Stegostoma tigrinum: one gene and its partner. The protein of the gene in region 1 purifies or fractionates together with the protein of each later gene. This does not show direct contact. Links are inferred from orthologs where the notes say so. Each region holds a gene or a part of one and is shown on either strand. Other genes may lie near its edges.

What was found.
Region 2: the proteins of stk11 (region 1) and cops4 purify together in Homo sapiens (affinity purification with mass spectrometry; 4 studies listed by BioGRID and IntAct, with this or other methods). This does not show direct contact. The link is inferred for Stegostoma tigrinum from reciprocal best matches to the Homo sapiens genes STK11 and COPS4.

Annotation. Positions count from the first base shown.
Region 1 is NC_081383.1:17,099,222-17,103,142, reverse strand, and holds the start of stk11 (serine/threonine-protein kinase STK11), read left to right. Parts: upstream 1-1,023; 5' UTR 1,024-1,121; coding exon 1,122-1,483; intron 1,484-3,921. UniProt on the Homo sapiens protein: Tumor suppressor serine/threonine-protein kinase that controls the activity of AMP-activated protein kinase (AMPK) family members, thereby playing a role in various processes such as cell metabolism, cell polarity, apoptosis and DNA damage response.
Region 2 is NC_081354.1:77,491,904-77,495,824, forward strand, and holds the start of cops4 (COP9 signalosome complex subunit 4), read right to left. Parts: upstream 2,252-3,921; 5' UTR 2,201-2,251; coding exon 2,127-2,200; intron 1-2,126. UniProt on the Homo sapiens protein: Component of the COP9 signalosome complex (CSN), a complex involved in various cellular and developmental processes.

The DNA of each region.
Region 1 (3,921 bases):
GACATGAAATTGATGAAAATGGCACCAGCATAGTGAGTACCGTTCAGGCTGATTGGAGCCCATCTACTCCAGGCCAGAGGTGTCGTTTTCTCGACGTACTTTTCAGGTTTTCTCTTTCTGTTTGTCCTTTCTTCCTGAAGTGGTGTCAGTAAGGGCAGCATTTGCAGGGTCGGCGGAGGGGGACTCCTCCGGGTTTGGAATACCTTACAGAGACCTTGCAGAAGCCTTGAAGACCCCAACTTGAAAGGAACACGAACTCCCATTTTAGTAATTTCTTCTTATCCTTTGTAACTCAAAATAGCACTGGATTGTGGTGATAAATCCCTTTTCACTGTATCTTCACGGTATGCGACAACAAATCGTTCATTCATTCAAAACTTCAATTCTGATTAGAAAGCACTGGTTACTTTAAATCTAAATGTAGCCACGGTGCATAAAATTGACAAATCATTACCTTTTTTAAAACTTGTGAATTGAATTTAAAACTTTGCAACAGCAAAAATTTTGTCTCACCGTCCTGTTAAGTCACCAGAAATCCGAGGGCACTAAGTTCAAAGTCTGAGAGAATGTAGCATTTAAAAATAACCCTCACACACCTCTCTCTCTCTCTCTCATAGCTATATTAAACCCCTGGATTAGGACCAGATCATCAACACACTCCTTAACGCAGGAGACTGAAGTGGACGCGAGGTGAGCTGGTGACCATTAGAAGCTCGGAATTTTAGAACAGGGGCTAGTCTGATTTGCTGCTATACCGCTGATTGATACAGATATCAACCAATGAAACGCTGCGGTTTTTCCTAGCAACCAGCCAATAGAAGCTACGAGCGCTGAGTGTGAGGCGGGCCTTTGTCGCTGGTTGTGAGGTAACAGCGATAATTGACATGATGTCGGATCAATGGAAAAGAGGAACAGCGTTTGAAGGTGGGACCTGTTTTTGCGTCGCCTGGTAACGCAGCTAACAGACATGGAGGACTACCAATAGGAGGAGGGAATAGTGCCCAGCGGGCTTTGGGGGTGTGATGACGCACAACGGCAACTCCGGAGTTGTTCAGGGGCAGGTAAACAAAATGGCGGCTGCCTAACAACTGAACTCCTTGCAGGAGGAGGGAGGAGAGGCGATGCTGCATGGAGCGGAGCAACGACAACATCAGTCAGAGGAGCCCGAGGAATCCGAGTCGATCCTGGCGCCTTTCAGAGACTATGTCGAGATGGACGAGGTCATTGACTACATCAGTGACAACGACCTCATGGGAGTGGACACTTTCATCCACAGGATAGATTCCACTGACGTGATCTACCAGCCGAGGAAGAAACGGGCCAAAATCATCGGAAAGTACCTAATGGGCGACCTCCTGGGAGAGGGTTCCTACGGCAAAGTCAAGGAGATGCTGGACTCTGAGACACTGTGCAGGAGGGCCGTGAAAATCCTCAAGAAGAAAAAGCTGAGGAGAATCCCGAACGGGGAAGCGAATGTGAAAAAGTAAGTGGATGGAAGTAGAAATATTGCACACACGATCGAGGCTCATGAAGCGCCTGTAATGCTTACTGACAGTTCACACCGAATCCCTAAAAGTGGCAGTTGGACAGGCTCTACCCCATCCCCCTCAACTCCCCCATCGCCACTTTTCACTTTTGACAACCAAACCCGTCAGTCCATCGTCGCGATTCTTGCTCCCAAAGGGACAACGAGAGGTGAACTAGTAGCCTGTCTTACTGCAGCCAACCTGCATGTTGGTTTGAAATCTTTGGATTTCTGATGATCATATCTTTTTTCAATGTAACAAAGGCGGTACTTTCGTGCTCCGTCTCTTTGAATTAAGAAAAATGAAGTTCTGGTACCAGACTTGTCAAGTTGACATATTTTTGAAACGGGGAGGAGTAAATGTTATAGTGACATCGTATTCTTGAATCTCACAGCTATAGTAATATATTGAGCTTAACATTTTGAACCGACGACATTGGTACGAGACAGCTGTTTCCATTTAAACACCCAGTTTTAGTGATCTAGGTTGGAGAAAGAGGAAGTAAAACATTTGAACGATTACGATTGCCCGTTGATTTACCATATAGTTTGTCGTCATTGCGATTTTTGCGACATATAGCAATGAGCATTATGCAGAACAATGTTTAATTTTATTTTCAACCAAAAGATAAATTTAGCCAGTTGAATGTTGCAACCGCCTAGCTCCCATTTCTTTCTGTGGTTTAAAAACTCAACCACTGAACAGCAACTTACATTGTTTTAAGTATTGTATTTGACTTAACGATGATGTGAACTGCGTGTTTAGAAATGTGAAACAGGGAAACAGTTCTCATTGAAAATGACACCTCAATTAAAATTTAAACACAATTTAAATGCTTTCTATCACTGTTCTATTGATTTTATATTCTTCCTACTAAAATCTGAGCTTTTAATTTGCCAAACAAAAATATTGGGGACATTCCTTGGCTGAGTTCCCAATTTTGATTAATACTTATACTCTGGCTTCACTTGGGGCAAGATTTAGTTGGTTTTTAAAGGGTCATCGTGTGATTGTGAATTTGGGACTCTTCTCTTTCAGCGTTGGCACAGGGCTGTCTAGTCAGGTCGGTAAGGAAGTGAGTTCTTTTGGGTTCATGACATTGAAACTAAAGAGGAAAGCATTGATGACTTTTGGGGTTTGGGGAAAGGGATGTAATTTTGAGAGAGTTGATGATTGTGACGTAGCCGATATCTGTTCAGTAATCTTAGAAATCCTCTTCACCACTTTTACAAATATTAGATAAATCTCCATACATTTGCTTCAATTATTGAGTCAAAATATGTAAAAAAGAGCACTTGTACTGTTAATACAGTCAACTCTTAAATGAGAGTCCTGCTCATTTATTATTTGTGCCGTGCCTTCTTCCAAGATAGCTAGCATCTAACTTGCTTCAGCACAGCTAAACTCACTTAGATTCTTGCTAGTCTAAATATTCAACAATATTTGTTGATTCCTATAAAGAAATCTTACCCTGATGTACAGAGCTGAAAAAACAAGTGTAGGTTTTTCACTGAACAGTCAGTCAGCTTTTTGGATAACCTTTGTAATTTTTTTCTTACTTTATGTTGGTTCATGGTGTTTAAAAAGTTAATATTAGTGATTTTGTTCAAGTGAATTTGGACTATGAAAGGTCTAAAACATTTGATCCAAATCAAGTGTGGATAATGCATCCACCCATTGTTGGTTGCTGAAGGCTTCCTGGCATTACTACTCCAGTTCTGTTTTGACAGTGCCAATATTCCATCCTCTGTAAAATTAGCTCATTCAAATCTCTGCTGCTAACTTGCACAACCTTCCTTTCACCTATTAACCATCTGCTGATGTAGATTGGCTGTAGTCTCACTAACACCTTGAATTTAAAATTCTCATTTTTGTATTCAGATCGCTCAATGGCCTTGCTTCTCATGGTTGCAGTAACCTGTACTTTTGGAAATCTCTGCTCCTCAAATTCTGATCTTGCATGTATATCTTTGATTTATGTTGTCTCATCACTCGGTACCTTTGGCTCGCCTAAGCCCTGAGTCTTGGAATTGCCTTTTTCAACCTCACTATTTCTCTCTTTTCCTTTTTAAGTACTCCATAACACAATTTATTTGATCAAGTTTTGGCCATTTGTCATAGTTTTTTTTTCTATTTATGTACCTCAGCATCAAATGTTTTTGATAACACTGCTGTGATATACTTTGGAATGTTTTACTGTGTTGCAGGTGCAGAATAAGTGCAATTTGTTTTAAGGAATTAATAACACAGCAAAAAAATAGGAGCAGGAGTAGGCCATTCAGCCTTTGATCTGTTCTGCCAATCAGTAAGATTATGGCTGATCTGATTTAAGACTTAATTCTACTTTCTTGAATGCTGCTTGTAACCTTTGATTCCCTTGTTGGTCAAAATTCTG
Region 2 (3,921 bases), on another chromosome or scaffold:
CGCAGTGGTCGAGAACACCCTCGACTGTGCCTACCACGTTTCCGCAACTTATCCCTCACACCCCATCCCCGTAATAACATCCAAAAAAGAATCCCCCTCGTCCTCATGTACCAACCCAACCTGCGGATCCAATGCATCATCCATCAACACTTTTGCCATCTGCAATCTGACCCCACCACCGAAGGCATTTTTCCTTCCCCACCTTTGTCTGCTTTCCGCAGGGACCACTCTCTCCATGATTCCCTTATCCGCTCCACACGCCCCTCCAACCCCACCACACCTGGCACTTTTCCCTGCAACCACAGGAAGTGCTACACCTGCCCCCACACCTCCTCCCTCACCCCCATATCAGGCCCCAAGAAGACTGTGCACATCAAGCAGATGTTCACCTACACATCTGCTAATGAGGTGTACTGCATCTGCTGTACCCGTTGTGGCCTCCTCTACATTGGGGAAACCGCTTTGCAGAACACCTACGCTCAGTTCGCAATAAACAACTGCACGTCCCAGTCACGAATCATTTCAACTACCCCTTCCATTCCTCAGACGACGTATCCATCCTGGGCATCCTGCAGTGCCACAACGATGCCACCCGGAGGTTGCAGGAACAGCAACTCACATTCCAATTGGAAACCCTGCAGCCCAATGCTATCAATGTGGATTTCACAAGCTTCAAAATCTCCCCTCCCCTCCCCTCAGTGCATCCCAAAACCAGGCCAGCTCATCCCCGCCACCCTAACTTGTTCTTCCTCTCATCTATCCCCTCCTCCCACCTCAAGCCGCACCTCCATTTCCTATCCACTAACCTCATCCCGCCCCCTTGACCTGCCCATCCTCCCCAAACTGACCTACCTCTTCCCTACTTCCCCACCTATACTCGCCTCTACAGGCTCCATCTCTGTCCTTTGAACTTGTCCGTCTCCTCGCCACCCATCTTCTCCTCTATCCACCTTTGATCCACCTCCCCCTCTCCCTCTCCCCCTCTTCTGAAGAGGAGTCTAGGCCTGAAACATCAGCTTTTGAGCTCCTAAGATGCTGCTTGGCCTACCATGTTCATCCAGCTCCACACTTTGTTATCTCAGTGTTGTATTTACCATTTTTTTTGTCCAGCTGTACTTGTACCTTTCCTTAGGACCAAAAATTTTGAATGAAAACATAAAATTGCACTCTTCGTGCATAATTAAAGAGCATACCAATCACACTCACGTCAGTGTACAGAGGCTGTGACCACGTGACAAATAGTGGTCAACAACAGCACTTGTATTTTATACCGGTAAATTCAACAGCTCAGGGATAAGTCCCATAGCCACAAGTAGCCCTCGGGTACCTTGCGTGATTGGTCATTCTTGATGTAACACTGTAGGTTTGCAGGAGATTTGACGGTACAGGGTATGACACTTTAGCACTATGAATCCTCACTGGGTACCCAACTACTGCCCTCACAACAATTGTTGTCGCATCACAGACTGCAGATCGGATCTGGCATGACCACGATCGATACAGTTTGATGTCTCTGCAGCACAGGGTGGGGAGACCCTTAAATTTGGAATCCATGAACGGAGGAAATGAAAATTTCTGTGGTCGATCATTTTAGCAATAAATGTCTAATAAGTAACAATGATTATTATATAACACAGTGTGGAGCTGGAGGAACACAGCAGACCAGGCAGCATCAGAGCAGCAGGAAAGTTGACGTTTCGGGTCGGGACCCTTCCTCAGAAATGGCCGTGTTTATCTCTGATTCCAGCATAGGCAGTTCTTACCATCTCGAAATGATTCTGAAATGGACGTTTTACTAAAAGCTGATATGAATGTGACTCCCTCAATCAAACGTAAAACAGATTTTTAAACCTCACGTAGATTGTAGCAAGAGGAGAGACAATTTTACTCATCAAGGCTGAAACAAACAACCCTATGGTGCCCCGGGACAGAGCCGAGACAGTTGGACATCAGCCTGGAGAAAGCAGGGGGCGGGGAGTCTCTCTGTCATAGGAACCGCTCCTCAGGCTGGGCTCCGGCTGAGTGTCAGCCCACAGGCGGCAAAGCTCCGACAGCTGCCGGGGGTGGGGGAAGGGGAGTCCGCCCGCCGCCTCTACACGCTCGCCCAGTCTCCCCGTTTCACTCACTTGCCGGCCAGATCCTTGTGAGAGCCACTGGAGTTCATCAACACCGCCAACTCCTGCCTCATTGCCGCCGCCATGTTTCCCCCACCCCCCAACAAGGAGCTTCAACTGGCGGCAAGAGCGTCCTACACAGTCCGTCATCGGAGCAACAGCGCCACCTGCCCGCTGGGGGTCTACTATAGTCCTCCAGAAGCAGACGCAGACGCAGAGTTCAGTGCCAGAGAGCACTTGTGAAATACACGTTTGCAATTTTTGTCCTTTCCCAAATAACAAGGTGACCGTCTTCCCAGCACTATTTGTTCAATAAAACCAGGAATGATGAACTATTCAGCAGACTGGGCAACATCCATGGAGAAAGAAACAGTTACGTTTTGAGTAAGATGTCAATTCTTTGCCATTGAAATGGGGAGCAACGACAGAAGGGAAGGTTTGGGATAAGGCAGATGAGAGTGAAAAAATGACCTGAAAGAAAAGACAATTAGGACGGTAATATTGTTGGAAAAGTCACATTTTGTCAAAAATTTTTTTGTTTTGCACTCAGCAGGACAGTTCGTAAGAATGCCAATTTAAATGTTTTTAATCAACCTGTTTGGAGATGTTATTACAGAGCCCTGAAGCAGGTGGAACTGGAACCCAGGCCTTCTGACTCAGAGGTAGGGATGCTATCACTATAAAACAAGAATACCAAATTAATAGAATAAACATACATATTATATGAGTGGAGAGTGCTGATAAATCAGCATGTAGAATCTGTTTGGCTTTGTTTAAATTTTAAATCTGGCATTAGTGCTTACTCTGGACAAAACACTTTCCCTTACTAGAACCACTCCCTTTGCCTTTTGCTCCAAGGCATTTTGTTAGTCAATTTCTCCCATCTTTGGCCCTATCCCAGACATGTTTCTACATTAACCCCTCCCACATTTCAATGCCATATAACAATCACATTCTACTGCTATCAGTTATGAATAAGTATTTTTTGACTTGACAGTTAACTCTGTTCCTACAGATGCCGTCAGACCTTTTGAGTATTTGCAGCATTTTGTTTTTTATTTCAATGTTCTAACTTTTGCTGTTGTTTCACAGTGTAATGTCTATCAGAACAGAGATAGGACTTCTACAGAGATCAAATGGACTGAAGGGCTATCATCATTAGAGGGTATCTTCCAATTTTATCAAGAAAAGTTGAGTTTGAACATGATCTCTCCTATAATTTACAATGAATAATTGTTTTCAGTTGTGCCTGAACTTTCAATTTCTATCTCAGTTAAAGAGCTGCACATAAAGGGTCAAAATTGTTTGGAAACAATGGCCTTAGTATCTTTGAATTAGAAAGGAAAAATATAAGAAAGGGTTGACATTCCTGATCATTTTCTCTCAATCCTTCCTGAAACTAGAGATGTGAATTAAGATAGAATACAGACTGACTCTACTACTTCTCCACTCACTTTTGGATACCCTGACCACAGTAATTGTCTACGATCAAAGACAAAGAAGATTCATTGTCTAAATGCTGGATGATTGCTGGAACTTACATGATTTATCCGTCAGGATAGGACAGAGCAGAGTAGAAAATGCTTGAATGCAATGAATTTGCTGAATTTAGTGATAGGTTAAAATCCATTCGGTTTAAAATACTGAAATCATTTTACAATAATCTCCACTGGATAAGGAGGAGAGAATAGAATCAGTGATCTTATCTCCACATATCCCCTTTCTTCCTTGACTTTATAGAATGTAGTAAGTGCAGTTGCTCTAATTTATCCTAGAATTTCCACTCTCTCAGACAAGAACTTAGCAG